2 linked regions of the Solanum lycopersicum genome follow. The protein of the gene in region 1 interacts with the protein of each later gene in a biochemical or structural test. Links are inferred from orthologs where the notes say so. Each region holds a gene or a part of one and is shown in the gene's direction. Other genes may lie near its edges.

Region 1 (17,092 bases):
ATATTTATGATCTAAAACAAACCGTAGACATTTATATTCAATACATTATAGGGCAAACAAGAAATTTTCAAAATCAAATTCTTTTCAATTATAGAAAGATGCTAACTTTTTTTTTTGAAACAGACTAAAAATAAATACATGTTATAATAGCCATAATCATATACAAACTAACATTATATGATCTACTCTTTTAATTTTCTTTCAAACCTCATTATAATTTTGGATATTTTTATTATTATGGTGAAATATTGTTGTATCGAATATATAGTAATACTGTAACATAATATGAAAAATCGATTTCGCTAAATTTTTTGGTTATTATAATGAAAATGTTACATGCTTTTGAATTGTTTGATTTGATTGATATGAAATATTCTGAGTTTTTTTTTTCTTCATTTTTTGTCCTATAATGTGGAAACACATCCTAAAATAATTAGCATATTTTGATTTTTGAAAAGGATATTTGTCCTGAAAATAATATCACGAGAATAACTTATTCAGTCACTTCAATGTTGTTTTGTTATCTTCTCGTCTTTATCACAAAACATCATTTCAATTCTTTGGTAAAAAAAATACCAACATTCTATCCGTCTCGATTTATGTGATGTTAGTTCAAATTTTAACGACTAAAATCATAAATTTTGATTGTGACTTTAAGTTTGTTGAATAAATTATAAATACTATTAATAACAATAATTAATCGATTCAAAATATTTATTAAATGAAAATTTATTCGATGAATTCTTGATATCTGAATGATGCCATATAAAATTTTCTTCTAATTTCTGTAAGTAATTTTTTTAATTTTCAGGTAGGAAACTACACTAATTCTCCTCATGATCAATACAAGGTAGATTTTGCTTCATCATCCATCACAAACAACTCTACTCTTGAGGAGAGGAACGTAAATCGACGTACGTAATATATTAAACAAATTTAATTTTAACTTTGTGTGTTATATTGTTTAATTTTTCAACCAAGGATGTTGGATCGCATGCATAAACATAGCTAGCTCAACTCGCGGGTAACATATCTTTTTCAAGACTTCAGATCGTGGACTATGTTGCTCAGACTCTTTAGAAATGTCATTGTTAATTCATTCAAAAATAATGTATTTTTGAAGAATCTGACCCTAATTCAACAATATTCTTGAAGAGTCCAATCGAGTAACATAGTAGGTTTTGTTGCTAACTTAATAATGTATAAAAAAGAAAGTAATCATGTTTTGATGTATATATGACAAACTCTAAAAATATCATCAAATTGTATATTATGTATATGTTTATCGTATCAATGTATCGAACTTGAACTCAATTAAATTTAATTAATTTTTTAAGAGTTTTTTTTTCAGCTCCGGAAAAGAGGCAACGAGGACCTTCTGCTTATAATCAGTTTATAAAGTAAGACAACTCTATCTCTATGATGATCGAATTTTTAAAAAATATATCGATAGGTGTATATTGATATTCCTTCAAAAAAATAATTTATTTTAAAGAATTTAACACGAGTGTAATATGATATTATTTCTATTTTTTTAGAAAATTTGAGCAACATTTATAGTCTATCCGCTAATTATATAATTATTAGATATTTATTGAATTTTATTAACAACTATATATTAAAATAATTTATGCAGAGAGGAGATTCAAAGGATCAAGGCTAATAATCCAGATATCACTCATAGGGAAGCATTTAGTACTGCTGCTAAAAATGTAAGTTTTAATAGACAAAAAGTTAAAAGAAAAATAAAATAATAATAATAATAATATATATATATGTATATATATATATATATGTTAATTATTTGTTGTGATAACACTTATGATTTTAAATATCTCATGACATTGGTACGTGTGGTTATTATAAAAAAGGAAAAAGTGATATATCACCAATCTTGTTATTTGAACCTGATATATTTCTCGTTATGAAAGTAGCTCATATATGTCTTTATTGTTATATAAATGACTCACATATACCTCTGCCGTTAATAAGCTTATAGCATATCCTTCATTTAACGGAAGTTAAAAAATTAGTTTTAAATTTATATTTTTTACTTTTATTTTTAAAAAAAAGTTATTTATGGATATATATGATTCTTCTATCAAAGTTTAAGGTATATTTTAATTTTTTTCATACATAAATTATTTTTTGATTTCTTTTATTATAATTATTTGAGTTTCTTATTCTTATTTTATTTATTTTTCTTTCATTCCTTAGTTTAAAGAAAAAAAATTTAAACTATTTTTCTTGTCTATATTGTAATTTGATTTTGTATTCGAAGAAAAAAATTTGGTCATCTACAATAAGTTTTACAAGAATATTAGTGAAACATAAATAAATTTGATTATCAAAATAATAATTCTACATTAGTCATTGAAATAAAAAAAAATCAAAAAAAATATGTTTGTCGGAGATTAAATTTACTCATATGAGATTATATTTTTTAGAAAAAAATAATAAAAAATTAGATTAAAATTATTCTTTTTTTATTTCCGTTAGAGGAAAAGGGTATATGTGAGTTAATTATTTATAAATAGGGATATATATGAGTCACTTTCATAACAAAGGGTATATCAGCTCTAAATGACAAAGTTTAAGGGTATATCAGACTCTTTTCCTTATAAAAAACTTTTCATTCATTACAAAAAGAACTTGAATTTCATACGTATAATATCGGTTGAGAATTGATTTGATTGTCAAAATATATTTCTGATGATGTCTTGATGGACAGATAATTAGAAATTATTAAATTATTTTCAAGTTAGAAAATTGTTATTCCTTTTTTTTAAAAATGAATTTAAAAGGAAATATTTTAGTTTCTCTCTTAATTTATAATTATTATTTTTGCTGAATTTTTTATGGTTAGTAATTACTGATTTATTAGCTTTGTTTGGTTTAATTAGTGGGCACACTTCCCTCACATTCAGTTTGGCCTCATGTTAGAGACTGACAATCAAGCTAAACTTGGTGCTAGTGAGGTAATAATATTCCTAAAATTATACTATATAAATATTATATTCTTCGATCAGATCATATCACATAAACTGAGACGATAGATTTTTAAATTTCTGTTTTATTGTCAAAAAAATGACACAATATTACAATAATATGAAGAGAAAAAAAACAATTCTAGTATAAATGTAATTAAGGAAGAAAAACTTCCAAAAGTGTAAGGGAAATACTAGTCGAATTTTTGCTTATAAGCTAAAAATGTATATAATGTATCGGAAAATCCTTCAAATTTACTAAATATTGAGCCGTGGAATTAGTATTGACTTCTCCAAATCCTGCATGAACGTGGAATGTTTAGTAGTCACCGGACATTCCCTTTTAAAAAAAGATACGTAAATTAAAGCAGATAACAATATCCTCAATTTATATTTCCTTTTATTAACTTGTAGTAATTTTAATTTGTGTCTAATTTGTTCTTCATTCCAATTATGTGCAGAACAAAGAAAAGCTTATAATGCATAGAGCTGCATTGCCAAAAATAAAGACCTTCACCTTCTAAGAGTATTAATTCTCTACATGTTGTATGTTGAATTATTTAAGACAAAGTGTGATTTTATTTGTTCTATTTATTAGTAGTACTTAAAAATTGTGTAATATAATTTGGAAATTAATTATTTGAAGTTCCTTTATTGTCTACCTCAATTTATTTTATCTTTCTCTAGTTAATAATTAATGAGAGAAAAAACTTTCTAGATATTTAGATTGCTTTCTTATTCTTTGTTTATTAAGTCTAAGGTATTAGATAAAATAGTCTAACTATCGGTTATTCTCTTTATCTATTTGAATTATCACTATTTATATATTAAAACATACTTAATTGATTATATGATAATGTCTGATGTATGTACTATCTGATTGAATAATTGATGGTGCGTGATATACGTACACTCTCAAAAAATGGACCTAGAGTAGCGAGATAGATTAAGCATCGACGAAAAATAAAATCTTAAAATAATAATTAGAGTGATCGAAAATATTAAAATCCCTTTAGAAGTTTCGATACACTTGATTTATTTGTGGAACAAATGTATTTTTCCATTTATGTCAAAAGATAATTACTTATCATCACCATGGTGTACCATATTTCTAACAATTATTAAAAACAATAGGAAATAGACCTATGAATTTTAAAATTATTTCCACTCTAAGCAAAACAACTTGTACTATATATGTTGTATATAATAATAATAAATAATTAGAAACAACACTTTCTAACTTTTTGTGGTATGTTTGTGTTCTTTTTTTCATTTACTATTCATGAGTACTTTACTTTAATTAGTTTATTGGATAGATATTTGATTGCAAAAGTTGTTTTCTTCTTTTTTGTACAAAGTTAAACCTATATATAGTATAAAAAGGAACTTTTATGTTATGTCCAAGCATATATTATATATATTATGTGTATGTTAATGAATATCATTACGCTATAACACATATGAATATTATCTGGTAAAAATTAAAATTGCATAGACCACCATGGAATAGCACTCTATCTCTCTATTTTTACCATTTCAAAAACGACTTTAGAATATTAAAAATTTATATATTATAAATTTAATATCGAACTAAATTCATCGATTAAATTAAATTGATACTTAATCATTTGAAAGGGTTAGTGGTTTGACTTTTGGGATAATATCACTTTTAATCAAAGCAATTATCGATAAATTATTATTTTGATTAATATACGATTAAATATATTTATTTTTAATTAATTAAAATATATATATTTAATCTCTTTATATAAAAACATATATAGCAAAAATCAAAATTTAAAATTTATTAACTTTTTGTGGGACCAAAAATATTATTGTCCCTAGTCCCTTTCCTTTTCGGTATGACTATTATTTTTTGTAATTAAATATTTCAACCTGAAAATGAGAGCTCACATTTAAAATATTGAATTCATCACACACCACAAATTAATCAAAAAAAAAAAAAAATTGTTAACACTTTATTTTCCTTATCTGTTAAGTGTTATATACTTATATTTGTTAAAGCTACGTTAAATTTGGATGTTAGCCACATTTAGGCCCACAAAAAATAATATAATTGGCTAATAAGTCAAATATCAATTAACAAAGTTGTAATTTGGTAAGATTTGCCAAGATAGTTGATTAGCATAATGTATTATTCTATATAGTTTTTGCAATCTTTTTTGATTTACTTTTTGTCTAGTCGTAGCGATTTTTAAGCATCTTTTACAATAATTTTGATATCAGATGAAGCGGGATGGTCATCTAACCTACTCTCAAAAGTGAAGGAATACGATATATTTCGTATTTCATCATTTTTTGCTAGATTAGATGAAAATTCAGTTTTTTAAAATTTATTTTTTATGTTTGATATACGTATTGAGTCTTTATAATATTAGTAATCAAATACTTTCTAATAAAATAATTTCATACTTAGAACTAAAACTCAAAATTTATAAATTATTATTTTAATATAAAAGCGGATCAATTTATCTAGAAAGGTCCACAAGGAAAATATTTATTTAAAGTAAGATTAGTCCAAGATTGTTATTTTAGTTGAATTTGTTTTCGATCAATATATATAACAATTTACATGTGATTTTATTGTAAGATTTGACTTGTTCTATATTACATGTCCTCCATTATTGGATGCATTTTTTTTCATGCATCTAATTGTAGCCTTACTTGAATAGACAATAGGGGTTGTTTGGTCGATGAAATAATGTAATACAATTTGATTCAAAATACTAATAAACTATTTTGATTGTTAATTATGGTGAGATGATTCGTAATCTCTTCATGTTTAATTAAAATTTTTGTTTGAACTCTTTAAAATTAAAAAAGTCTTATTCAGAGTATTGTCCTCATAAATAAATCGTGCAACATACAAATTCAAATTTGGTCATTGTCAATGTGGATACATAACATTAAAGAAAATGTTTTATTGAAAAATCTCTAAAATTGTTTTGATTGTCGGTGTGATGGGATGTTGATTAATGTTGTTCATAATTAAATTGAAATTGGTAAGTTCGTGATGGGATGTTGATTAATGTTGTTCATAATTAAATTGAAATTGGTAAGTTCGTGATGGGATGTTGATTAATGTTGTTCATAATTAAATTGAAATAGATAAGTTTGAATCGATCATTGGTTTATCGATAATAGCCTAATAGGTTATTGGTTTAACGAATTTAGTAATGGTTTTTTCTTACATCGGTCATCATTTTTTTTAACCGTTTGAGATTTTTTCTTAATGAGTTAACCAATAACTCAATAGTAAGCTAAATAATTATATTTATATCATTTGACATATAAAGTCTAAGTTAGAGTTTAATTTCGTATTTTTATTTTTGGCTATCTCAAACTCTCAGTTATCCTGTTATAGTGTTTGCTTTTGAGCAATATGCAATCTATCAACTAATGTGCATGGTTCATTTAGTTTGTCACCTTTTTTCTAAGTAATATTAAATAATTTTTTCGGTGTCAAATATTAACTGTTAAATCAATAACTTAATCGATAACGACCAACAACTGATAAGTTAGTATCTTAAAGGTTATATAAATCGATAAATTTTAAAATTGGATCGAACCGATAGATACGCAACTCAAAATTCTAAATAAAATTTTGGTCTGATTAAAAAAAAATCTGATAAATTGATTTTTAGCGGTTAAAATTAACCAATGCTTCTTTATTCGCCACAGTTCAAAACTTCTCCAATATTTTACCTCAGCTCCAAATCGATCAGATTTCTCCGTTGCTCAATTTCCCGGCGACTTCTCCACCGGAATTTCTCCATTTCCGGTAACGATTCCGCCAGCAACTCGCCATTTTTCTTTCTTATACTGAAATTTATTATTTACTTGAATTCAATTTCATAATTTTGTTTTTCTCTCGTCAATCGCGTTAAATTTAGGTCGAAGATGGAAACTTTGCGGAAATCAGCTTTTATGCTTTTTCTAGTTAATGTAATTTTCCGTTTTAATTTCTGAATTTGGATATATACACAATTGAAAATTGCATTTCGAGTTGTAATGGTAAATATTTTCTGTTCTAGGTCTATGTATTAAGTTTCTTCAATCATATGAGTATGTATATGCGATAAGTTTTTATACCTGTGAAAATTGCATATCCCGGTTTCAATTTATTTGTCTGATTTTTACTTTAACAGAAATAATTTTTTTTTTAAAAAAAGGAAAGAGGCATTCTTTTTTAAATGGATTAAAAAAGTAAGGCAAGCGAATTGAAACGGAGAAAGTATTTATTATATGTGTGCATTTTCACATGTAATACATGATCAGCTTGAGTTGATCTAGATTACTGATTAGTTTTATTGTGATTCAATTGACAGGTTTTTGATGAGCTATAGTTGAAGGTTGCTTTGCTTTTGGTGATCTGTGGGAAATGAGTGTTCAGTGATGAAGAAAGTGAAGAGAAAGCTTGGGAAGTATGAAGTTGGCAGAACTATTGGTGAAGGGACATTTGCCAAGGTTAAGTTTGCACGAAACACCGAGACTGGAGAGAATGTTGCCATTAAAGTCTTGGCCAAAAGTACCATTCTTAAGCATAGAATGGTTGAACAGGTATTAAGATATACTTCCCTTCAAACACTCGAGTATATGCTTTACATGTCCTGCATTTTTGTTATTTTATTTTGATAACAGTGGTGTTCACATATCCCATATTCAAAGGTTGGAGCTTGATAATTAGAAAAGTTATTCTAATCTGTGAAGTGATTATTATTGAACTTAGGTCTGAAATCTTTTCTGTCGAACTTCAGTAGGCTTTTCTGATCTGATGTGAATCAAGGGTAACCATGACAGCTTCAGTGGTGGACTATTAAGCTCACATTGAACGCCGTAGCAATGAACTCTGTTATCAAAATTGAACTATGTGAATGTGCCTGGTATCTGAGCTGAATTCTATTAGTGAACATCAGCATGTTCTCCATTATTGAGTAATTATAGTCAAATTTTAGTTGGTTGATGGATTTTTAAGCCTCTTAACTGATGGTTGGCAATAGTTTAGCTGTGTAAAAGAATTAAGATTTGATCATATTGAATTTTTATTATCTGTTTGCATTTGAAATAGATTTCTGTGTTAATAGAGCACATTCTGGGGTCTGTGTGTGATTATTCTACCGTCCTTGTTATCCATGTCTGGCATTTTGGCTGATCAATGTGCTGTTCTTTGAGATGGTTTCCAGATCAAAAGAGAGATATCTATAATGAAGATTGTCAGACATCCTTGCATAGTTCGACTTCATGAGGTAAAAAGAAAAAAAGAATAAAAAGTATTATATTACAAATACTACTGTGAGTTTGGTTGTTCTATTATCGTTGCTACTTGCTGTTGCTGATGTTTATTGATTTTGTGTTCCCTTGTAGGTTTTAGCTAGCCAGACAAAAATATATATCGTTCAGGAGTTTGTCACTGGAGGAGAGCTTTTTGATAAAATTGTAAGATTCCTTAGAATTTTCAATAAGATTTTTCCTTCTTTAATCAATAACTCTTGCAGACTTCTTGTTCCTTGTATGTGATGATGGATAACTCTCCATCTGATAATGACTAGGAAGGTAATCTGTAAATGAAAATAGAGGCACGATTGAGACATTGTTGCAACTAAGATGTGTGCCCATGACGAATTTCTATGAAGTGATAATCTTCATTTATTAGGATGAGCTGTAGTTTGGGTCAAGATACTTATGGAGGATGGGGAAGTAGATAATGGAGTGAGCAGCAGATATCTTTGGTGCATCCTATACAATATTCACAAAGCAATAGTCTGGTGGAGTAATCTGTATAATGAGAAATAGAGGCATGACCGAGATATCTCTTTTTTATATTTGAAAAATAGAGGCATGCTGAGATATCCGTAGAAAAAGACATTCTGTATTTGGATAAAGTAATTCCAGTCCATGCTTTTTATGTGGAGAGCTTGGAGATCATTTTCTTTACTCTCAAAGCAGTTAAGAGTGTGTTGAGTTACCTTCTAGTAAGTCAAAAATTCCATCTGATCAAGAGGTTCCTCTGGATAGGTGTTACCAGTCTTATTTAAGCACAAGATAGTGATCGGAAATGCTTAATTTGTCAGTGACGATTTAGCTTTAAATCAGTTTTTCTCTGTCAGAGATGAACTCTATCGAGAAGGATTATTTTCGCTTATGAACTTTGTACATTTTTTTCAGTATTCCTGAATAGTTGGTATGAAATGCATGATCCAGCCTGGTTCTGATCAACTAAATCTCATCCTCATCAAACATATAAATTGTTGGGTTACTTAGGTATAAGCTGGTTCATTGATAGTAGTCCAGTTTCCAATTAGGCACTTGCGTCTTTACTAGTTTACTTCAGCTCATGGAGCTTTAACCCTTTATGGTTTATTTTGTCCTTCTCCCTATGAGTTATCAAGGTTTGATTTTCAAGATTTAGTAATGTATCTGTCTCTTCAATTCTATATTCGTTCAATTTATAGGTTCATCTAGGTAGGCTTTCTGAGGATGAAGCAAGGAGATACTTCCAAGAACTCATAGATGCAATTGCTCACTGTCACAGCAAGGGTGTTTACCACAGAGATTTGAAGGTTCGCAATTGCTGATTGGAAGAGATATTTTGTGAAAATTATATATCTTAATCTTTTAACTATTGCTCCTTGTTCCCCAGCCTGAAAATTTGCTTCTTGATTTCCAAGGGAACTTAAAAATTTCTGACTTTGGGCTTAGTGCATTGCCTCAACAAGTAAGCAACATCTGATGTTAGTTGCATTAGATTGTATATCTATTTTTGTTTCTTTCCTTGTTCATTAGAGCTTCTAAATGGGAATTTACTCAAATCTCTAACAGGGAGTCGAGCTCCTCTATACCACTTGTGGGACTCCAAATTATGTTGCACCTGAGGTATGATGCATATATATTTTGAATGTTCTTCTTGTTTTGTACATGCAACCCTTCATTCTTCATTTGATTGGCTTGCTATCCCAAAACCCTTTGTTGAGAATATAATTGAGTAATAAAAAATGTACTCTCTCTAACACCTTAAGCTTTTAGATGAGATGGTCACACACTTCAACATGGTATCAGTGCCAAGCAGAGGTCTTGAGATCGAATCTCACCACCACCCAAAATTAAGAAGAATTTCCACGTGTTTGGCCTGAATTTATTCATGACAGTTTCTTATCATTAATATGTAACTTGCACCAGCTATACTTATTGTTTGGTTCTGCCTAGATTTAAGTTATATCATTAATATGTCACTGAGTATTGTTTGATTCTGCCGTGCTAGCTCCGACTTTCAGGTTCATTGATTAGAAACTTAGGTCCTCTTATCTATTTTCCCATTCCTCATACATCCTCAATGATGTCCACAATAATAAGCACCGTGTGTATTTGTTTTATCTGCAAGGAGCTTGAATCAGAAAGAAGCGAAGCAGAGGGGTGGTTGTCTTTCATTTTAATTCATTGCTATCCCTTTTACCTAGCATGATCAATTGGCTTTTGATTAGTCATCAAATGAGAGAGAATCAGAATTTATTTCCCTTCCATGAGCTCTGTAGTAATATACCTTCAAATCATTGCAGTAACTGTCAGTTACCTTTCTTTGGGTAACATCATAACCTTGTGCTGAATTGTTTAATATAAGAGGTTTGCATCAAGTTGAATTTGTCTGAACTATGTCAATTGCTGAACATATGTTAATTTGCTTACTATGTTTTCTTATATTCGAATGTGTTTGGACTCTTTCTGTGGTAGCTGGCTTATTACTCTTAGTTACTTCTTCAGGTGTTAGGTAACCGAGGTTATGATGGTGCTGCTGCGGATGTGTGGTCATGTGGTATCATCCTTTATGTTCTGATGGCAGGATATCTTCCATTTGATGAGACAGACCTTCCTACCTTGTATACAAAGGTTAGATGCAGTCATCATGCATTTGTAATGTGTTAAATGGAAGCATAGATAATTCTGTCAAATGATTCTCTTTTTCTTCTTATATAGTGACAAATGCTAAGGATCATAGGTCATATGAGGGACAATATTTGTTCTTTTCTCATATGTATATTATTCATTTCTGATTAGGATTGAGGTGTAATGAGTTGATTGATATATTTATTCAGCTCTCTGACCTTTGTGTGAAGGATAAGCTCTCTTTCACTTGGCATCGACCACACTGCTCTCATAAAAAATATTGTTCCGTATTTTTAATTTCATCTTCATCTGCATGAGTTTCCTCCTTGTGTTTTTTATTATTACCATTATTTGTTTTTTGTTTGTTTTTTATTAGATTAATTGGGGCTTTAAAAGAACTTGACATTACTTGTACACGGCTTGCTATATGTTAAAGTTATTGTTTGCTCTATGTGTGGCTTACTATATGTTAAATGTTATGGTTTGTTCTGCACAAATTTCTTATTGCTTTTAATATTGACACAGATCAAGGCTGCTGAATTTTCCTGTCCATTTTGGTTTTCTCCTGGTGCAACATCGTTGATTCAAAAAATCATTGATCCAAATCCTCAAACTGTAAGTGCACTATATTTTCAACCCTGAAAACTATGGTGTCCGATTGCCTATTTGTCACTTAATTATTCAATCTACTATAAGCTTATAACATTAAAGTTGTACTGGAAAAACAAATCCCTCATGATGAAATATGAGAAGCCCCGTAACATGGATTAAATTCCTTCCAAATTTCCCGGATTGGTTATAGAAATCCTTTTTGAGGTCATTTTAAATGTGAGAAATGCCTTAAGCATGCCTTCTGCTCATTCTTTGCTTTTGTTCAGTATAAGTGTTCCTTTTCTCATTCCCTCTTTCTTGGTTAATTTGTGAAACTTCAGCATAACATGTACAAAAGTCCTTTTAGTGTTTTCATAGTGATTTACTCAGAACCATGTACATGCAGAGGATCAAGATTGATGGAATAAAACGAGACCCTTGGTTCCGGAAAAACTACAGAGCTGTTAAAGCTAAAGCAGATGAAGTAGTGAATCTTGATGATATCCATGCTGTGTTCGACGACATTGAGGTTGAATCTTTTCACATTCGTCTTCTAGTATGCTAACTAGTATGTCTGTGTGAGGAAGTGATCAAGTTTAAGATAAATTGTACTCTGGATTTAGATTAACTGAAGTGATTGGCCTGATACTTCGATGTTCTCACCCATTATAGGTTTGATATGTTCTATTTTTATGTGCAGGATGCATTTGTCAGTGAAAAATCAGAAGATAGTGAGAGTGGTCCCTTGGTAATGAATGCATTTGAGATGATAACACTATCTCAGGGATTAAATCTATCCGCTTTGTTTGACAGACGTCAGGTACAATGATTAATTTAGTTCATGGACCAAAAAATAAACCATACCCGACGTTTCCAGATTTTAATTCATCACAACGTCATCTGTTTTATCTCTTTCTCCCGCTTCTTCTTGTAAGCTTTTCGTTTCTTGGATAAGGAAGAGAATCTGATGGGATATGTAAATTGATTCTTCCTTGAATTTTTAGTTAGCATGCTCTTATATAGAAGCACGTTAATTTATCTCTCACTATTTTTGGCCTCTTTTTTTTCTCCTTTTTCCTTGTAGTCAAGTGGCTCAGAGCCAATGCTACATAATATCAACTTTTCTAAATCTAATTTTAGATCAAATACGTCGCGATTATTTTTTCGTTTAAAAAAAAAAGTGTCAGATATGATCTGAATAGCTTATATTTTTAATGATTGAGTTATTTATGTTTCTACAAATTTAAAAATGCTGACATGTGTAGTAGGTTGTCTCTTTGCTATTAAGGTTTTGACAACTTCCTTCTTATAACAAAGAGTAATTTCCTCTCTCATTCTTACAGGATTATGTCAAGCGTCAAACTCGATTTATTTCCCGCCAACCTGCTAAAGTCGTCATTGAAACTATTGAAGCAGCTGCAGAGTCGTTGGGTCTTAAGGTCCACACACGCGATTACAAGGTATATTTCTAACTCTCCATATTCAGGGACAAATGATTCTCTTTTATTCAAATTTGAATTCAATCAGAATGAAGCATTGTTGTAACTAAATAATCAGTTTCCCATTGGATCAACTGTAATTTTCAGCATTTTTTTTTACCCTTTTCCCACAATCTATTAAACAGCAATTTCCTTTCAACATCAAAGAAAATGGAATATACAGGAGGAATTCACCCCTTCAATTTTTCCTGCTCTTTATAAGGAGCAAAATCGTAACTGTGCCACATAAGCTTTAGTCGCATTTTGCTTAACACTGAATGAATGATGGTTGTAAATTTATCTGTTGCTTAAGATGCAAACATCTTGGAACTAGGGGCAGATCTATAATTTTATAACACAGAGCGAGGAGTACCACTCCTTTTTGTCACTGGATACAAACTAATGGTAATTCTATCGTGTTCTTAAACGAGAATACCCTGGGTAAGTTTCTCGTTATTGAGTGGGAATTGATTTATTGAACCACTCTTCTCATTGCAGACAAGAATTGAGGGGGTAACGGCAAATAGGGCTGGTCAATTTGCTGTTGTGCTGGAGGTAACTTTAAACTTAATAAACCGATTCATCTTAAGATCGGTGTTTCTTATTTTCATTTGACCACTCTTTCTATAATTTGTGAAGGTTTTCCAAGTAGCCCCTTCCCTTTTTATGGTTGATGTTAGAAAGGCTGCTGGGGACACTCTTGAATATCACAAGGTTGCTTCTACACTCAACTTTGACTGATTTTTTTTTTTTCACTATAGCTTGCATTACATACTTATATTTAGCTTCTGCACGAAAATGACGTTATGTGCATTTGCAGTTCTACAAAACCTTCTGCACGAAAATTGACGACGTCATTTGGAAACCGAAGGAAGGCATGTCAAATGCTGTTCTGCTTAGGACAAGGACTCGCTGAACCAGATTTCTGGGAATGAAGTGAATCACTTATCAATTTGATGTGCTCCGAAGACGTTCGTTGTGTTAGGTATAGTGTGTGTAACTGCATGTTGTTAATCTTTTGTTCACTACATATCTTAAGTGATAAATCATGGGCTCAAAAGCAATACAAGTAGGGTTGTAAATGAGACGGTTCGATCAGTTGTAACCAATTTTTCGGATATTATATAATGTATAACCAAAACTAGACTTTTCAAAACCATCCCAATAATATCGGTTTCTCTTTGGTATCGGTACAGTTAGTTTTCATTTTTAAAAAAAAAAATAAATTATCACCTCAAAGTATACTATTAGTAGAATATTTCTTTATTGCAAACGTGTTTGCAAAGAAGCACTTCAATTCTTCACCAAGAAGTCAAGAATGTAAAACCTTATTGCCATATTGTTTGATCTTAAACATTTAATACGAGTGCTTGCGTAGGTTTTAGTGTATTTTTTGATAGAATGCCTATTATAATATCTTTTAATTTTAAACTTAATTAACTAAAGGTTAATTAAAGAGCAAAGTCCCACAGTTCTAAACCTACATATTGTTTTTTTTTCTTTCAAAATTCTTCATGGACGTCCGTTAATACCTTAGCTACGGATCGAGTTGTCCAAGACGGTCAAAATGATCAATTTTCAAGGTCAAACAAGTCCCGGAGAAGGTTAATCCCCCATTTTCCTGATTTTTATGTGCTATTGTGCAAGAATTTTTAGTGATTCAAAATTCCGATATCATATTTGCCAAAAATATTCATGGACGTCTGATAAGACCTTAGTTATGGATCCAATTGGCCCAGACGACCAAAATGACCCATTTTTAAGTTTAATCGGGCTCCGGAGTAGGTAAATCCCCAATTTTATCGATTTTCGTGTGATATAGTCCATGAATTTATGGTGATCCGATTCCAATGTCATTTTTGCTGAAATTTTTCAGACCTTAGCTATGGATTCAGTTGACCCTGACGGCAAAAATGACCCATTTTCAAGGTCAAACGAGCTCCAGAGCAGGTAAACCTCCGATTTTGCCGATTTTTATGTCTTATAGTTCACCATCTTTTTTGGTGATAAAAAGTTCCGACGATATTTTTTTTGAAATTTTTCACGGAAGTCCGTTGATACCTTAGTTATGGACCCAGTTGGACCAGACAACCAAAACGCTTCATTTTCAAGGTCCAACGAGCCCCGGGCAGGGAAACCCTCATTTTTGCTGATTTTTGTGTGTTATAGTCAATGAGTTTTTGGTGATTCAAAATTCCGACATCTTTTTTGCCAAAATTTTTAGTGGACGTCCGTTAAGACGTTAGCTACGGAATCAGATTGCCCTGACGACCAAAATGACCAATTTACGAGCCCCGAATTAGGTAAGCCCCATTTTGTTGATTTATGTGTACTATAGTCCATAGATATTTAATAATCCAGAATTCTAACATCTTTTTTTGTCAAAAGTTTTCATAGACGTCTATTAAGATGTTACCTATGGAGCTAGTTGGCCTTTACGACTAATACAATCCATTTTGAAGGTGAAACGAGCCCCAGAGCATATAAATCCCCCTGTTTTGTCGATTTTTGTGTGCTATAGTTCACGATCTTTTTTGGTGATCTAGAGTTCCAATGATTTTTATCCTCAAATTTTTTGTGGAAGTCCTTTAAGACGTTAGATATGGAGCCAATTGGCCAACACGGCCAAACCGATCCATTTTGAAGGTCAAACGAGCCGCGGAGTAGGTAAACCCCTAATTTTATCGATTTTTAATCCGAAATTCCAACGTCTTTTTTGTCTAATTTTTTTTAGGACATACGTTAATACATCATTATAGAGCCAATTGACCCTGACAATCAAAACAACTCATTTTCAAAGTAAACTTTATTTTGTCGATTTTTGTGTACTATAGTCCATGGATTTTTCGGTGATCCAGAATTGCGATGTCTTTTTTGCCCAAACTTTTTTTGGACGTCCGTTAAGACGTCATATATGGAACGAGTTGGTCTGACGGCCAAAACGATCCATTTTGATGATCAAACGAGCCTCAGAGCTGGTAAATCCCTTATTTTGCCGATTTTTTAGTGCTATAGTCCACGATCTTTTTTGGTGATCCAGAATTTTGATGTCTTTGTTAGCTAATTTTTTTGTGGAGGTCCTTTAAGACGATAGCTATTGAGCCAATTGGACCTGACGGTCATAACAACCCATTTTGAAGGTCAAATAAGTCACGGAGCATGTAAATCCCCGTTTTGCCAATTTTTGTATGCTATAGTCTATGAATTTTTGGTAATCCAGAACTCTAACGTCTTTTTTGCCCTAGTTTTTCGTGGAAGTTCGTTAAACGTTAGATATGGAGTACGTTGGCCCTGATGGTCAAACAACTAATTTTTAAGGTCAAACGAGCCCTGAAGCAAGTAAATCTCATTTTGCCAATTTTCGTGTACTATTGTCAATGGATTTTGGGTGATTCAGAATTCGGTCGTAGTTTTTGCCCAAATAATTCATGGACGTCTGTTAAGATGTTATCTATGGATCCAGTTGGCCTTGACATCCAAAATGACTCATTTTGAAGGTCAAACGAGCCCCAGAGCAGGTAACCGATCATTTTACCGATTTTTGTGTGCTATAATCCACATTCCTTTTTGGTGACCTAGAATTTCGACGTCTCTTTTGCCCAAATTTATTGTAGACATTTGTTAGCACGTTAGTTATGGTACAAGTTTGTCTTAACAGTCAAAACAAATTATTTTAAAGGTCAAACGAGCTCAGAGCAGGTAAACCACCGATTTTTCCATTTTTGTGTGCTATAGTCCATCGATTTTTGGTGATCCAGAATTTCGAAGTCTTTTTTGTCAAATTTTTTCGTGGACGTCCATTAATATGTTAACTATGGATCATGTTAGCCTTCATGGACAAAACAACTTATTTTCAAGGTCAAACAAGCTTCGATGCAGGTAAACCCCATTTTACCGATTTTTCGTGTACTATAGTCTAAGGATTTTTGGTGATCAAGAACTTCGACGTCTTTTTTGCCAAACTTTTTTGTGGATGTCCATTAAGACGTTATCTATGGAGCAGTTGGTCATGAAGGCCAAAACGGGCTATTTTGAAGGTCAAACGGGTCCTGGAGAAGATAAAATCTCTTGTTTCGTCAATTTTTGTATGTTATTGCCCACAATTTTTTTGGTAATCCAGAATTTCAACGTCTTTAA
Region 2 (16,362 bases), on another chromosome or scaffold:
TTTTAGCCGGAGGCCACTACGTGTTTTCCGGCGACAAACAAAATGAGGTAGAATGGAAGCCGGGGTGGGCATTTTGGCAAAGAAGAAAAGGCAGAAGAATTTTTATTTTTTTTTGGGGCCAAAAATAACATTTTATTTTTAATATATATTTTAATCAAGGCAACTTTCAGATAGGTATAGCAAATAAAATATTCATATTTGTATGTTATAGCAAAGTTTACAAAATTACGCTCCATAGCAAACATAGAAACTGCATAATTCGCTGTACATAAACAGTTGAAGCAAATTATATAAAACGAAGTGTATAAAACAAGAAAGAGAAAGACACTTGGATAGAGAACTATATAAAAACTAAGTGTATAAAACGAATTATATTATTATAAGTTATAGAACGATTATATACAATTTGAATTTGTATAAAATGAGAAAGAGAGAAAGACAAAAGAGACTTGACAAGGAATATACAATTGAATTGAATGGTATAAAACGAGAAAGAGAGAAATTATATACAATTTGAAAATTGTATGAAACGAGAAAGAGAGAAATGCAAATGAAACTGAGCAGGAGAATATTTTTATTGTATAATTATAAGTGTATAGGACGAAAATATATGTACTTGCATGTGTATATACAATTTTCTCATGTTTTATAAAACGAAAACACAATTTATACATTTCGCTTCTGTTTGTATAAGTGAGAAAGGCGAGGGTGTAGAGCGAGATTTGCGAGAGTGGCAGCGAGATCTGAAAGAGGGGAGAGATGGGAACAAAAATATATGTATTTATACAATTTTCTCTGCTTTATACAATTAGAAACAATTTTTATACACTTGTGTTTGTATAAAAAATGAGGAAGCGAGCGAGAGATTGGAGGAGAGTGGCGAGCGAATAATTTGGGAGAGAGAGACTCCTGACAATTTTTTTGTAAACATTTGCTATGGAACACAACTAAATCAAACTCTAGCTACTCCATTTATTTTAAGTTATTAGTTTACTATTATATACAATTTTCCCTTTTAATTATTATTATTATGGGCCCAAACACCACATGTCCTTTTCTAACTAGTTACATGTCACGTCATCACTAGCTTATAACACACAATTTTTATTTTTAGTTAATCATGAGAAAATGTTTAATAAGTATTTCTTTTTACTAATAAAAATGTTCAATAGAAATAATCTAAAATAATGTGTCCAAAGTAAAATTTACAAACAAATTTAAATGAATACAGATTACTTAAGCTTAAAATAAATTAAATCTAACCTGTTTTGCGGCGGCCTTTGTTGGTTCCAACTATATTAATAATTTTGATGATTTGGCATTTGCTTTTGTGGCCACCTCTAGTTTTTGGATTCTTTTAAAATTAAAATTTCTCATAATTTTTTATTTTAGAAAAAGTTTCCGCTAATTATTACTCCTTTTGTTCATATCATAATTTTTATTTTTAAAGTCAAATTATAAGAATTTTGACTAATATTTTAAGATATATTATATAAAAATTATAATTTATAATATTTTTAATATTATTTTTAAATATTTTAATTTTTTATTTCAAATATCAAATTAGTATAATCTAATTTAATTTTAAAAATTAATCGAAAGAAAATCGCAATATGACCAAAAAAAATGGTTGAAGGGAGCAGTAGTTTAATTATGATATAGGAGCAGTAGTTTAATTATGATATATTTGCACAACTACTCATTAAAATCATTCTTATTTATAATAAAGAATGGCTCTTTCTTGTGGCTGTATTTCTTTTATACCTAAAAAGAAATCATTGTAGTAGGGTCGCTTATACATATATTGGAATAAAAAGAAATTATTGTAGTAGGGTTGCTTGTATATTTTTTGATTAAAAAGAAATCATTGTAGTAGGGTCGTTTGTACATTTTTTTATTGGTGGGTGAGTAGGGATCGTTTAAAATTACTAATTCAAATAAGGGAACTTATTAATTTATTGATAACTGATTTAATAATTTTGGTAATGATTGTAATTTGATAAACTATTGGATTACCTCTTCTTAACGGGTAATCCAAATTTTTGATTTAAGATTTAGTTTTGTATTTTTATTTTTTATGTTTTAGATTTTCTATTATTCTAAAATGTGTCAACGTTTGCATATGTCTAATTTACAATATTTTAACTCATATACATGGTTCATTCAATTTGTCACCTTGTTTTAAAGATATTTTCAATAATTTTCTTGTGTAGAATCTTAACGGTTAAATCAATAACAAATAAATCGATAATGGATAAACCAATATCTTAAAGGTTCTATAACAATTTAACATCCATTTTTACAAACTAATAACTAATAAGTAACTTCAAAATCGAATCAGACAGATTGATATGCAGCTCTATTTGTGAGTAAAATAGTTATTTCGTAGTAATTTTTATTGTAATATCATCTTAAAACTTTCGAATAATATATTGTCTAATTTCTTATAAAATGGTTACTCTTATCTTTAATAGTTTTTGGAACTCACAACCATAAATTATACTTCATTTTTCTTCTAAAGAATAGAATATAATTTTAAAATATTATAATCATATACATTTTGAAACTTCATCCAAAATTGACTTATAAAAGATATTTCTGAAAATGATCAAATGATACCTTAATAAATTATCACACCAATCAATTGGTGGAAACCTTAATAAATCAGTAGACAACCTTTAACTATCAAACAGTCTAAACTCGTGTGTCATGCATGATAAGCTTTTGACTCATACATTATTATTATTCTATTTTGTTAGAAACCTTAATAGACGATAAAAAATTGGGGTTTGCCGCAAACATTCACGTTTTGTATTGTTTTATAATATAATATTGTATTATATTTTTTTAACAAATATAACCTTTTAAATTAATTAATTTATTTTTCATTATTAAATAATATCATATAACAATAATTTGAATGGTAAATTTAAAAAAATAGAATATAAACATAATTACTATAAAAAAAAAAAGGATCAAAATCATAAGATACTCCCCCCATTTAAAAAAGGGAAAATTGTATAAAATAGCAAACTAATAACCTAAATTAAATTGAATAGCTAGGGTTTGATTTAATTGTGCTTCATAGCAAACATTGACAAAAATTTGCCAGGCGTCTCTCTCCCAGAAGTCTCGCTCGCCACTCTCCCATTCTCGTCTCTCTCGCTTTATACACAGAAGTGTATAATTTCTGTTTCTGTTTTGTATAAAGCGAGAGAAAATTATATATACACATGCAAAAATGTATATCTTCATGTTATACACTTAATTATATAATTTACAAACATTTTACTTCAAATATTGCAGAGAAAAAGGCCAAAGAATTATACAATTGCGAATTATACAATTGCAGTGAAATACAATTTTTTCTAACTTTATACAACAGAAGTGTATATATTGTGTTTCTGTTTTTGTATAAAGCGAGAAAAACATATATCTTCTTGCTATACACTTATAATTATGCAATATACATACATTTTAATTCGATTCAACTGTATGCAAAGCTAATTATACAATTGCAGCGAAATAGGCCAGCGAATTATACAATTTAGGCCAGCGAATTATACACTTTTATATGTATTGCGAATTATACAGTTTTTATGTTTGCTATGGAGCGCAATTATGCAAAGTTTGCTATATTATACAAATATGATTTTTTTTGTTTGCTATATGTGAAAGTTGCCCTTTAAAAAATGATGGTCTAGTTTGATTTGGAATGGAGTTAAAGAAAATAAAGAAAAAATTTTAATTTGTGGTTCAAAATTAGAGTTATGTCAAATGTACTCAAATGTCTTTTAATCTTGCAGTCTTAAACATGTGACGTGAAAAGTTAAAATTAAAGTATTGCCAAAAAAAAATTAATTATTTTTTTTAAACAAACTAAAAAAAAAATAGAAATATTTTTTTTTGAAACGAAGGAAATAATTATTTTTGTCATTATATAACAATAAATTTAAACAATTTAATATGATAAAGCAACAATGAATATAAACATTAAATTGAACCTAACATTACATTATACATTAATATAAGGCCAAATATATAAGCAAATTCCTAAACTTGTTGGGTTTTTTCTCTCATGTACTTCAACTACTTCATTTTTCTATTGAATCATTGAATTCCCATAATTTGTTTCCTTTAAACAAACAATGTTGTCTGATGTGGAACCAGATTTATGAGGGGTATTGCTAGAGGATACATATATTGTTCCACAACTCATTAGTCCAATTGATTGTGAAAATGTTCGAGAATAATTGTGTTTTACTTAAGTCATTTGAACACATTAGAAAACAAATGAGACTAACACGGTTTGTATTCATTCCTTCAATCAAAATTATTATAATTCGAACACAATTAAAGGCATTTCCAATAGAAAAGCCGATCAAAATCAACCAACAGTGTTTTAAAGGAATAAATTATGGGTGGTTCAATGATTCAATAGAAAAAAATGACTTAATTAAGATACCCAAGGGAAAAAACCCAACAAGTTTAGGAATTTGTTTATATATTTGGCCTTAATATAATATAAGGAGACGTAACAATCATTAGAAGGTGTAAAAGTATGTGACTCATACTTTTTAAATAGAAAAATAAATATGTAAGATAATATAAAGTTTATTACGTGAACCACCTTAACACTTGCACAGTCGTGTGGATCTGATCTTGCACTGACATTAAAGAACAGTGCGTTTAAATATGATTAAAAAACATACTTATACGACTAATTAATGTTTTCTAATATTAATATTAAGATTCTGTCCATATAAGTAAATTTTAGTATTTAATCATATTAATTAGGCGTAACATGCTCGTTTCGATATTTATCAAAACACACACTTTTAATTAAATAATTAAATTTAAATACGCCCTCATCTATAGATAATATAACAAGTGTCTTATAAAAACTTTTAATTTAAAATTAAAATAATATTAAAAATATCTCTAAATTTAATAAAAAATTAATAATAAATCAAAAATGTATTAAATTCAATTAATCTAATAAAATAAAATAATATTTTTTGAAACAATAATTTGTAGTATTAGTGTTCTTCTCAATTTTTTTCATTTAATAGAAAAAACAATTTGATCATTATGATTCTCTCTCCTCTCTGTCTTCTTTATTGGTAAATTTGTGAAACGAAATGTGATACGAATCAATGGATTCCACTCGAAATTCTCTGGTAAATTGCAACAATTCATTTAATTTCACATAGAATTCTATTTAATTTTCATTTGTTTTGTGGATTCTTCAGAGTTGGAGTTCTTTGACAATCTCAGAGAAAATTTGTGCTTCATTTTTCCCCATTATTGCACTCATTGAAGCTTGTATGTATGCTGTTTCTGGTTGCTTCGAATGTCATTACCCTCCAAACAAAAAGTTCAGTTACGAATACACGGACCTTGCTCGACTTGCCGGGGAATCTCGATGTAATTAACATTCCATTTTTTTTTTCAAAAATTAAAATCTGATTTGGAACTGTATAGGTTGAATCATTTTTTGGTGAATTTTGATTTTTTTGCAGTTAATGTGAATGAAGTGGAAGCATTATACGAGTTGTTTAAGAAGTTGAGTTGTTCAATTATCGATGATGGTTTGATACATAAGGTGATTTGTCCTTTTTTTTTTAGGGTTTTGCTTTTGTTATCCGTCTGTTCCAATTCGTAATTTGTGATAAGTTTTTTTTTTTTTTTTTTTGGATATTAGTGCACTTAGACTAATTCAGTATATTTAGCAATTTTACAAAAAAAAATTACATATATTGCAAATTCCTTTCCAAAATGATGAAATTTTTTTAAAAATTACTCGGAATGTTGTTTGATTCTTGTTGATGATGCTTACTGTTAAAGTTACTTTATATAAAAATAAAGAAAGACCAATCTGTTTGATTCTTGGAATGAAACTAGGATGACAGTATTACTAATATGCATGTAGTTTTGCTAGAGATAGGAAAACTGGTACAAGGATCAAGACTATTAGTTAGTTATAGTTAGAATTACTGTTCAATGTAAAGTTGGTCAGAGTTACTGTTCATTGGAAAGTTAGTTAGGATTTCTATTAGATTTTGTTACTCGTTCTTTTGAGTAGTTGTATCCATTCATACGAGCATATCTACGATTGTAATAGTCATTGTAAGGCATCTTTTGAAGTACAATATCTCTTTTTTTGTCTTCTAATATTTCTGTCTCCACTAAACTCTTGATTTTCCTGTGTTAGCTTCTTAGCTTCCTCAAGTAGTCTCATGTATTAGCCTTTTCACAAATCAATTGTGCATCAGAAACCCTCTTGTCATTTGTTGGATATGTGGAATGGAGTGTTGGAAGTAAAGGTGCGCCCAACAAGGCTTGCTTTCGGGTTTTAAGTTTGATGTAAGGTTTAAGTTGGAGAGGAGGTCTGGGTTATGAGCTTAATTATTGGGTGTGGCTGAACTTAATAAATTCTTTGCAATATGTATTATTTATTTGTGTGTGTTCTATCTGCTGACATCGTAATATATCTTATCCTGAAAATTGGACGAGTCTTCGTACAAAGAGAAATATGTAGGTAGAGATTTGTGCAATTTTCAGTCCTAACCTTTCAGCGACATCTATCTCAACTTTTATCTTCATTTTCCGTGAAGTTTCACCTTTATGTTAGACATTTCTGGTCAAATGAAGGAAAGAGAATGAATATTAGTTTTTTGAACCTTTCTTTTCCTCTTATTTAAGTTCTTTCTTCATCTTCAGATAGATGATAACAGTGTTCTTATTCATTTTTTACAAATTTGCATATGCAGCATATCACTTTTTTGCAGTTTTAAGATCCTTGAGTGGTCTTTTCCCTTCCTCTTTACTTTTTCTTACTGAAGTATGTGCAGAGTTTTGAAACTATTGTCATGTTATATTTATCTTTTGCTTTCTTTTTCCAGGAAGAGCTTCAGCTAGCCTTATTTCAAACTCCACATGGTGAGAATCTCTTTTTGGACCGGGTAAATGCACTTAAACTTCTGTTGCTAGTTCATCTCATGTTCTCTCTTGGGATATCTATCTCCATTCCATGAGAACAATGCTAGCATATTATATATGATTTGTGTTAGATTTGAATATGCTAAACATGCTAATTAATGCACTTTGATGTTTCAACTGAAAAAGATGGTTTATCTGATCGGTCTATATATGAACTGCCAGCTTTGGGGTTCTTAATCGATATGAATATGTCACATAACACATTACTATAGTTGGCTGTCCATGTCATTTATCAGCACATTTAGGTGGGTCAGATGGATCAATCATCTGAAGTTTTCCATATTCTATATAAGTAGGATAGTTATTTGTCAACTGTGCTGTTAGCTTTGTGGTTCTTTACATGTGATATCTTGTTTGACTGTATTGAGGACAAGCTGCTTTCTAATAGTTGAAATATATATCAGGGAAAGCTTAAAAATGAGGAAAGAGTTAAAAGAAATCTGCCTTGCATCAACTTGTCTGACCTTAATTTCTTTATGAAGAAATTGTCTTTAGTTTCATGTTGATGAACTTTCCAAGTTCCTTTTCTGCAGGTTTTTGACCTTTTCGATGAAAAGCAGAATGGAGTTATTGAGTTTGAGGAATTTATCCATGCACTTAATATCTTCCATCCATATGCTCCAATAGATGATAAAATAGACTGTAAGGAGTGTAAACCATTCTTTTAATTAATAGTTGTTCTATTCAAATCATCTGGTGTGTGTAATTCATTGTGATCACTTTTTTTTCTCTTGCAGTTGCCTTTAGGCTGTATGATTTACGACAAACGGGGTACATTGAGCGAGAAGAAGTGAGTAATTAAGTTTGACAATTTCTGTCAACAGCTTTGAAGTTCTTTTCTTCTCCAAAGATGTGATATTACCATATGCTTTTAAAATAACTACCCCTTCTATTCGAATCTAACAATTGCTGATAACATGTACTATTAGTTTGCAGACACTAGTGTTTTAAGTTCTATTTAGAAGTACTGGAAGCGAAGGAGAATAAATTTCGCTTACGTATTGCAGGCTATAAACTATAACATATGTTAAACGTAGAAAGTTGATTGATTCTGAAACTGAAACTAGAATATAGATCTCACTGATGATGTCTCAAAAAATACTTTGGATACAAAATGATTTGTTAAGTCAGACGGGAATGGTATTGTGAAGTGATTGATCATAAACTTAGACTGCATTATTTATATAGGAGAATATAATACTACTCTGAGTGTAATGGAAGTGGAGAAGAGTGAGCACAAGGTTCATACAGAGTATTGCCCCACAAGTAATTTACTTTAACTTATTAAAAGTTGTTACAGCTGATATATACAAAGCACAAGCATTGAGATTGACAATATTTTGGCTGCAGTGACCAGTTCTTAATAGCATTACATGCTTAGAAAGCATGTTTTTAACTTGGAAGTTTCTGAACTCCTAGTTTATGTGATCAGTTCCCTGGATGATACAATGCTGATCAAAACCTGATCAGTTATCCTTCTATTAAGCCAGAACAAACTCATTTTTTTTCTTCTATTGTCAAATAAGTGCATTTGTTATAGAAGTGAGTATATTGATGCAATAATGGTAAAAGGAAAGTAAATATATGGATGTAACCATTATTGTAGCTAATTATTATTTGTGCAGATGTTGATGCAATAAAGGTTGAAATCCAGAGATAGCATTTAAGTTTATGTTAACTGAAAGTTCATTGGCAGAACCCTGTGCATAGCTAGGTCTATGGTGTAATCTACTTGCAGTGTGCTGTGTTAAAGTTGATGTCAGATTTATTTTTAGATGCATTTATCCATGAATTGATTGGAAAGTTTCTTCATTTAGGTTAAGCAAATGGTAATTGCAATTCTGATGGAATCTGAAATGAGGCTATCTGATGAACTAGTTGAGGAAATTATTGATAAGGTATGCGTTTGTCAAGATGAATCTTTTCTCCAAACCCATGTCTGCTTATCATAATTTTTATGTCTCCGTCTTTCTGATAGACATTTGCTGATGCTGATGCTGATGGGGATGGCAAGATTGACAAGAAGGACTGGAAAGAGTTCGCTATCAGATACCCATCATTGCTGAAGAACATGACTCTGCCCTATTTGAAGTAAGTAAACTGTTCTTTTGCATCATGGCTACTGTGCTTTTATTATTGTTGATTTAACCACCTGATAATAGATCTAGATCTGATTCATTTCCTCTTGTTGCTGTTTTCTGTTTCTCTTTCCCCACACTTGTTTTGTTAAATAGGAAAAGGGAAAACTGAAGAGAAACTAAACCTCCCACCTCCAACCCCACCCCCACCCCTCCTCTCCCTCCAAAATCTGGTGTTTTGAACCCCAATCAAAGAAAGAAGTAAGCTTGTGGTAGGATGGTAGCTATTCATTATTGTTGGCTGATAGAGGATATTCTTGTCATCAAAGATATGATCCTATCAAAGATGTGATCGTTTAAGATCTTAGGATAATTGTGGATATCATTACTCTGATTTTTCTCTTAATGTAAAATATATATGATTCTGTATAATCCCTGATTTCATGGGATTTAGGTGGTTCTATTCCATAATCTCTTATGTATATATAAAGCCATGTAATATGACATAGAAATATATGTATGAAATTATTCAACAATCTTATTCCACATGGTATCAGAGCTTTAGGCTTATTCCTGACCAATTTTTTTTGATGACAAGGGAAACCCGCAGTCGCTACCCTTTGGGTGCGCACAGGGTAAAAACTCCACTCCTATGCAATAGCTCGCAAATCTTATAGGAGAGGTAACTCGCACTAGGCAAGCCTGGTGCACAAGCTCGACCCAGAAGGCAAACCCCTTGATTTCGCGGGCAAGGGGTTTCAAACTTGAGACCTCCAACATGGAAGTCACAAGCTCAAACCACTGGGCAACCCGAAGGGTATTCATGACCAATTTTGTTCATCCTACCTAGACAAAAACCCATTTTTGCTACCATGTCTGAAAATGGTACTGCCGCAAACATTCCAGTCTCTGAAAATGTTTTTGCAACCGTAGAGAATAACTCTATAGTTTCAACTAGAGATTTGGAACATTCAGCTTCAATATGTAGTTGTTCATCGGCTTTCACAAGTATTTCTTACTCTTTTATTACTTATGTCTCAGACAAACTTTCTCCAACGTGGGTGGTTGATTCTGGGGCAACTTATCACATGACCGGTCTCTCTCATCTCATCATATCATATTCCCCTTGTCCTAGCTATAAAAAAATAACTATAGCTGATGATTCAGTTGTCACTGTAGTTGGTCGAGGAGACATACTACTTGGAAAATCCTTGATACTTAAAAATTTCCTTCATATCCAAAGTAATCTGTAAATCTCATTTCTATCTAGAAACTCACCAAAGATTACAAATGTCAAGTAACTTTCTTCCCTTCATATTACTTATTTTGGATCAGAACACGAAGGAGATGATTGGGCGTGCTAGTGAGAAAGGTGGTCTTTATTGTTTGGATTTTCACAATGGTGAATATATATCTAAGAATTCCTTGTCTAGTTCATTCTTGTCTGAGTCTATTATGTTAAATAAAGAGAAAGTATGGCTTTATCATCGTCGGTTAGGTCACCCTTCCTTTTATGTAATCAAAAGGATGTTTCCATCTTTGTTCAAAGATTTGATTGTGGAGTCTTCTTTGTGATGATTGTGAAATTACAAAACACAAATGTAGTTCCTTTCCAATTAGTCACAAAAGATGTCAAACTCCATTCTCTCTTATTAATGATAACTGGTGACCCTCTCCGACTCCTAATATTTCTGGTGCTAGATGGTTTATGTCATTCATTGATGATTGTACAAGAGTTACGTGAATCTATTTGCTAAAGCAAAAATCTGATTTCAGTCAAATTCTTCCTACCTTTTTTAATATGATCAAAACCCAATATGAGGTGCCAATTAAAAGATTCCGATCAGATAATGCCAAGGACTACTTTAATTAAAACCTCTCTTTTCTTCCAAAAAGAGGTAATTATTCATGAATCTTCATGTGTCAATACTCCTCAACAAAATGGGATAGCAGAGAGAAGAAATGATCTGTTACTTGACATTACTAGATCATTGTTGTTTCACAAAAAGGTGCCAAAACAGTATTGGGGGGAAGTTGTCCTAACTGCTGCACATCTTAGAAACAGAATGCCATCAAGATTTCTGAACTTTCAAAGTCCGATTGATACTCTTAGGAATTTCTTTCTAAATTAGGAAATTTCCAATAAATTGGTTCCTAGAATCTTCGGAAGTGTTGCCTATGTTCATATTCATTCTCAAAATAGAGGCAAAATTAGATCCACGTGCTCTTAAGTGTGTTTCCATAGGATGTTCTCCTACTCAAAAAGGTTACAAGTGTTATCAACCGTCATCTAAGAAATTCTTTGTTTCAGCAGATGTCATATTTGATGAGAGTGAATCCTTTTTTAATCATTCTTACAATCTGGGGGAGTCATTGAAGGGAGAGGAACCTCTAGACTTGTCACTATTTGAGTTGTCTATTTCTAGTCATGCCAAATTCTTGCCTGAGTCACCATTTGTTCGGTCACCTGAGTCTATGAATCCAAACGAACCCATTGAGTCTCCTAATCCAAATATAGATAATGGAATTCTAGAAAATAATCTACCATTGCAGGTATTTTCCAAAAGAAAGAGACAGACTGATCAAACTAGTCAGTTGCAAGCATCTCCTCAGGTTACTACTTCTAATACCCATCCTAAACCTGCTGAACCGTCAGAACCAGCAAACTAAACTGTTCATGAAGTAGAATTTAACCAACATAATGACCTTGACCTTTCCATTGCACTCAGAAAAGGAATTAGATCTTGCACACAACACCCTTTGAGCCTTTTCATGACATAGCAAAATCTATCCCCAAGTCATAAAACTTTTCTCTGTAACCTCCACACAATTTCTATCCCCAGAATTTTGTCTGAAGCATTAGAAAATAAAAAACGGGAGAAAGCTATACAGGTAGAAATGGAAGAGTTGGAGAAAAACAAAACTTGGGATATTGTGAAATTACCAAAAGAAAAAAGGTTGATCGGGTGAAGATGGGTGTTTACATGAAATATAAGTCAGATGGGTCCATGAAAAGATAAAAAGCACCTTTGGTAGCAAAGGGTTATACACAGACCTGTCGAATTGATTATTTGGAGACCTTTGCCCCGGTTGCAAAAATGAATACAGTGAGAATCTTATTATCATTGGCTGCGGTTTTTAATTGGAACCGGCAACAATTTGATGTAAAAATTGCATTTTTACATGGAGACTTAGATGAGGAGATCTATATGGAGGTGCCACCTAGTTTTGAAAGCAAGAAGGGAATGGTGTGCAGACTGAAGAAGACACTTTATGGATTAAAACAATCACCTCGTGCATTTTTTGGAAGATTTACAAAGGTTATGATCGAACTAGGGTATCAACAAAGTCAAGGAGACCACACCTTGTTCATAGGACACTCAAAACAGGAAAGGTGACAATATTGTTGGTTTATGTGGATGACATCGTAGTAACAGGCGATGATTCAGAGGAGATACAAAATTTGAAAAAGTGTTTACTCAAGGAATTTGACATCAAAGAGCTTGGAAAAATAAAGTATTTTTGGGGAATCGAAGTGGCACACTCAAAACAAGGAATCTTTATTTTCCAACAAAATTATGTGCTTGATTTGCTGTAGCCAATTTATGCATGATCCTAGAGAAATGCATCTTCAAGCTGTCAATCAGCTTCCACAATATCTCAAAGGAAGTCCAGGAAAAGGAATATTATTCAAAAGAGGAGGAGACATGGTTTTGGAGGCTTATACAGATGCGGACTATGCTGGTTCATTAGTGGATCGAAGGTCAAGTTCAAGATATTGCACTTTCTTAGGAGGAAATCTAGTGACTTGGAGGAGTAAAAAACAAAATGTAGTAGCTAGATCAAGTGCAGAATCTGAGTTTCGATCTATGGCTATGGGAGTTTGTGAGTTGTTATGGTTAAAGATAATCCTTGATGATTTGAAGATAAGATGGGAAGGACCTATGAGACTATATTGTTACAATAAATCAGCAATAAGTATAGCTCATAATCTTGTACAACATGATTGCACTAAGCATATTGAGGTAGACAGACATTTCATTAAGGAGAAATTAGATAGTGGACTCATTTGTACGCCATTTGTATCTACAAAAGATCAGGTGGCTGATGTTTTAACAAAAGGATTACCAAACAATGTGTTTCAAGATTTAATAAGCAAGCTAGGAATGGAAGATATCCATTCACCTACTTGAGGGGGAGTGTTGGCTGATATAGGATATTCTTGTCATCAAAGATATGATCCTTTAAGATCTTAGGATAATCGTGGATATCATTAATCTGATTTTCTCTTAATGTAAAATATATGATTCTGTATAATCCCTGATTTCATGGGATTTAGGTGATTCTATTCCACAATCTCTTATGTATATATAAAGTCATGTATATGACATAGAAATATATGAATGAAATTATTCAACAATCTTATTCCACAATTATGTCTTTTGAATATACAAAATATTATGGACATCCTTTATTATGTGTAATCCTTTTTCTTTGTTCTGTTGCCTTTATGAACTCTCTTTTGTTCGTTGGTTCAGTTGCTCAGTCAAATTCTCTTCTCTCACTGGAAGAACATTTTATATGCACAAGGCCAAAAGAAAAATGTTTCTACTGTGCTGTTTTGCTTCCTTCTTTGGTAGCAAACCAGAGAAAACAAAACTTTTATATGTTCTCTTTCTACATCATACTGTACTTTCCATGAAAACTGTTGCGTTGATTAACCAAAAACCTCTAAAAATAATGTTTTCTTGTGCTTCATTTTACAGGGACATCACTACTTCATTCCCAAGTTTTGTCTTCCACACACAGGTTGAAGACATTGAGAAAATCCATTTGTTGTGACAAGTTGTGCACTAGCCATAGCGAGGAAATATGATCGGGACAGGGAACTCTGTTAATCTGGCTAAATGGTTCGTGTCATCCCTAGAAATGTCCTCCATTACAAAAGGGAACATGTTGATCATCAAGTCTAAAGCAGCAGCCAACAGCTCTTCTTCTACTAAAATGGCTTAAGCTGTCAGCCTGTTATAAGCATCTCATTCATTTTCAGAATCAATCTTCAAAAGTCTATTGTCTTAGATGGTGATTTAAGATGATCGATTGATAAATCATCACATGTATTTCTGCCTCAACCTAGCATCTAGTTACTATTTGCAGTGTACCCCCAAAAAAAAAAGGGAAAAAGAAATTGCCGTGTATATAAATTTTTACCATGAATTTGTGTATCTGGTTGTTATCAGTTTCCAATTCAGTGATTGATGTCCTGTTTAGATTGTTCATCTGTTAAGGTCCAATCTTCATACTGTACTTATCCTTTCTTTTACTGAGGAGATTTATACTTTGCTGCATATTGTAGGGTGTGTTTTTTCTGATCTGTGTTTGGATGGATTAATGCTCAATATATGAGTTTTCCATCTTCTGTTGCAATGCAGAATGCTTCCTTGGAGAGAATTGTTCAAGTTCAGGAAACAATATTATATTTTGGATAAGATAAATTAGGCTATAACTCAATAAAACCTTCAGATTGGTGCTCTGGAGATTAATTTGAGGAAACTTACGTAAATATACTATAATAAAAAAATATTTATCATTTATAGCAATAATATTTTTTTTCACTTGATCACTTTTAATTCGTTTATAATACACGTTTAATACATATTGCAAAGAATAATTTATTATTCACATATAATATAAATTTTAATGATGAATAATACATTTATCACACATTTTAATACACTTATAATATAAAATGTGATAATTTTTTACCAAACAAACATGATATATTTCAAAAAACAATTATAATTCACATATACTGCATAAATAATTCACTTTTAATACATATTACAGATTTAACAAAACATTTCTATAAATAGTAATAAACAAAAAATATCACTAAATCAGTAATTATTTTTTAAAATGTATTAATTTATATAATTTTTCCTTAATTTAGCCTGGGATATAACTTTATTGGAAAGAAATTGGGTTGGATTTGATAAAAATCGAGGTAGATTGGGCTTAATGTTAATTTTAGAGAAAAATCCATAAACAACTATAACTTGGAGCGTAATATCATTAGCAGCTATAATTTTGACTAATTACGAATTATAGTTACTATTTTGGTATTCCTCGTATACATGATATTAGTATATACTTTAGGCCATCTTTCGAGGAAACCTTGAAGTACTTTGTAAAAAGAAATAGACAAAAGGTGTTAGTTCCCGGAATATTCTGGATATCGGGGATGGTGTAATATTGGAAAAATTACATGGAAAAATAAACTTATATCAGAAATTACTTAAAATAGTTATGGTTTGCTTTACTTATCATTCGCCTTTTACTTTTTGTCAGTATTATCAGTTTAAGCGTGCCTTTTTTCCCCTTTTAACCCCCGTTTCACACGTTACTTGTGAGACTCTGCAGATTTTTTCTTTTAACTTTTTTTCACCATAAATTTAAAATTTCTACCTTTGCCTCTCAAGTTGTTCTCTCAGATTTTCCAGGTAATTATTTTTCCGATTTCATGCTTATTTCATTATCTTGTATTTTATATTACTGCTAACTTTTTTGTTCTTTTTCAGTTTTTCTGTTTTATACATCCAAAATGAAGAAAAAACACCTTCTAAGAGAATCATTAGAGTTATACAGTCGAATCAACAATTTTTGTATGATTTTCCATCTTTTTCTTTGGGTTTAACTCAGGATGTCGAAGAAATTTCAGGATCCATGACTAAATCTTGAATTAATCAACAAGATCGTATGTCGAAATTTGGTAATACCCCATTGAAGATGCAGGAAGTCATGCATATTGCAAATTCAAAAGGAAAGACAAAAAAAAGTGAATAAACATAAAGAAGACAAATCTGTTGATGTTTTGACTTCAGCGAACAAGCGTAAAGTAAAAGAGATTGCATCTACAAGCATTAAACAAGACAAATCAGTTGAAGTTTTGGATTCAAAAAAGAAGCGTAAAGTAAAAGATATTGCATCTACTAGTAATATAGAAGATGCCCAATCTGATTCAATTGAATGACTACATTTTGAAAGAATTGAGGTAAGTTGTAGATGTTTTAAGTTCACATCTAAAATTGTACGCATATCTTAACTGTTTGAATATATTTGTATCTCTATATACAAAAATGAAATTCTATATTCAAGTTGTTGTTGCATTATTTTGATATTTGTGTTATACTTGTTGATAAATTATATAAATTATGTTTTAATTGTATTCATATTTGTATAACTTTTTATATATATATATAGATATTCACTTTGTATAACTTTG

What was found.
Region 2: of the proteins of SOS2 (region 1) and CBL10, one has a biochemical effect on the other in vitro, tested with the Arabidopsis thaliana proteins (6 studies listed by BioGRID, with this or other methods). The link is inferred for Solanum lycopersicum from reciprocal best matches to the Arabidopsis thaliana genes SOS2 and CBL10.

Annotation. Positions count from the first base shown.
Region 1 is NC_090811.1:3,244,895-3,261,986, reverse strand, and holds SOS2 (calcineurin B-like interacting protein kinase), read left to right. Parts: upstream 1-6,667; 5' UTR 6,668-6,789; intron 6,790-6,861; exon of another isoform or gene 6,862-6,953; intron 6,954-7,336; 5' UTR 7,337-7,403; coding exon 7,404-7,568; intron 7,569-8,191; coding exon 8,192-8,254; intron 8,255-8,372; coding exon 8,373-8,444; intron 8,445-9,460; coding exon 9,461-9,568; intron 9,569-9,648; coding exon 9,649-9,723; intron 9,724-9,827; coding exon 9,828-9,881; intron 9,882-10,763; coding exon 10,764-10,889; intron 10,890-11,411; coding exon 11,412-11,501; intron 11,502-11,883; coding exon 11,884-12,006; intron 12,007-12,177; coding exon 12,178-12,297; intron 12,298-12,820; coding exon 12,821-12,937; intron 12,938-13,453; coding exon 13,454-13,510; intron 13,511-13,594; coding exon 13,595-13,669; intron 13,670-13,775; coding exon 13,776-13,871; 3' UTR 13,872-14,111; downstream 14,112-17,092. Other genes in the region: YABBY5B (axial regulator YABBY 5), read left to right, coding at 812-914, 1,352-1,400, 1,637-1,712, 2,904-2,978, 3,449-3,511. UniProt on the Arabidopsis thaliana protein: Involved in the regulatory pathway for the control of intracellular Na(+) and K(+) homeostasis and salt tolerance.
Region 2 is NC_090807.1:54,642,194-54,658,555, forward strand, and holds CBL10 (calcineurin B-like 10), read left to right. Parts: upstream 1-5,070; 5' UTR 5,071-5,156; coding exon 5,157-5,180; intron 5,181-5,252; coding exon 5,253-5,427; intron 5,428-5,522; coding exon 5,523-5,605; intron 5,606-6,905; coding exon 6,906-6,965; intron 6,966-7,535; coding exon 7,536-7,644; intron 7,645-7,739; coding exon 7,740-7,792; intron 7,793-8,819; coding exon 8,820-8,900; intron 8,901-8,980; coding exon 8,981-9,093; intron 9,094-13,846; coding exon 13,847-13,922; 3' UTR 13,923-14,428; downstream 14,429-16,362. UniProt on the Arabidopsis thaliana protein: Acts as a calcium sensor. CBL proteins interact with CIPK serine-threonine protein kinases. Binding of a CBL protein to the regulatory NAF domain of a CIPK protein lead to the activation of the kinase in a calcium-dependent manner.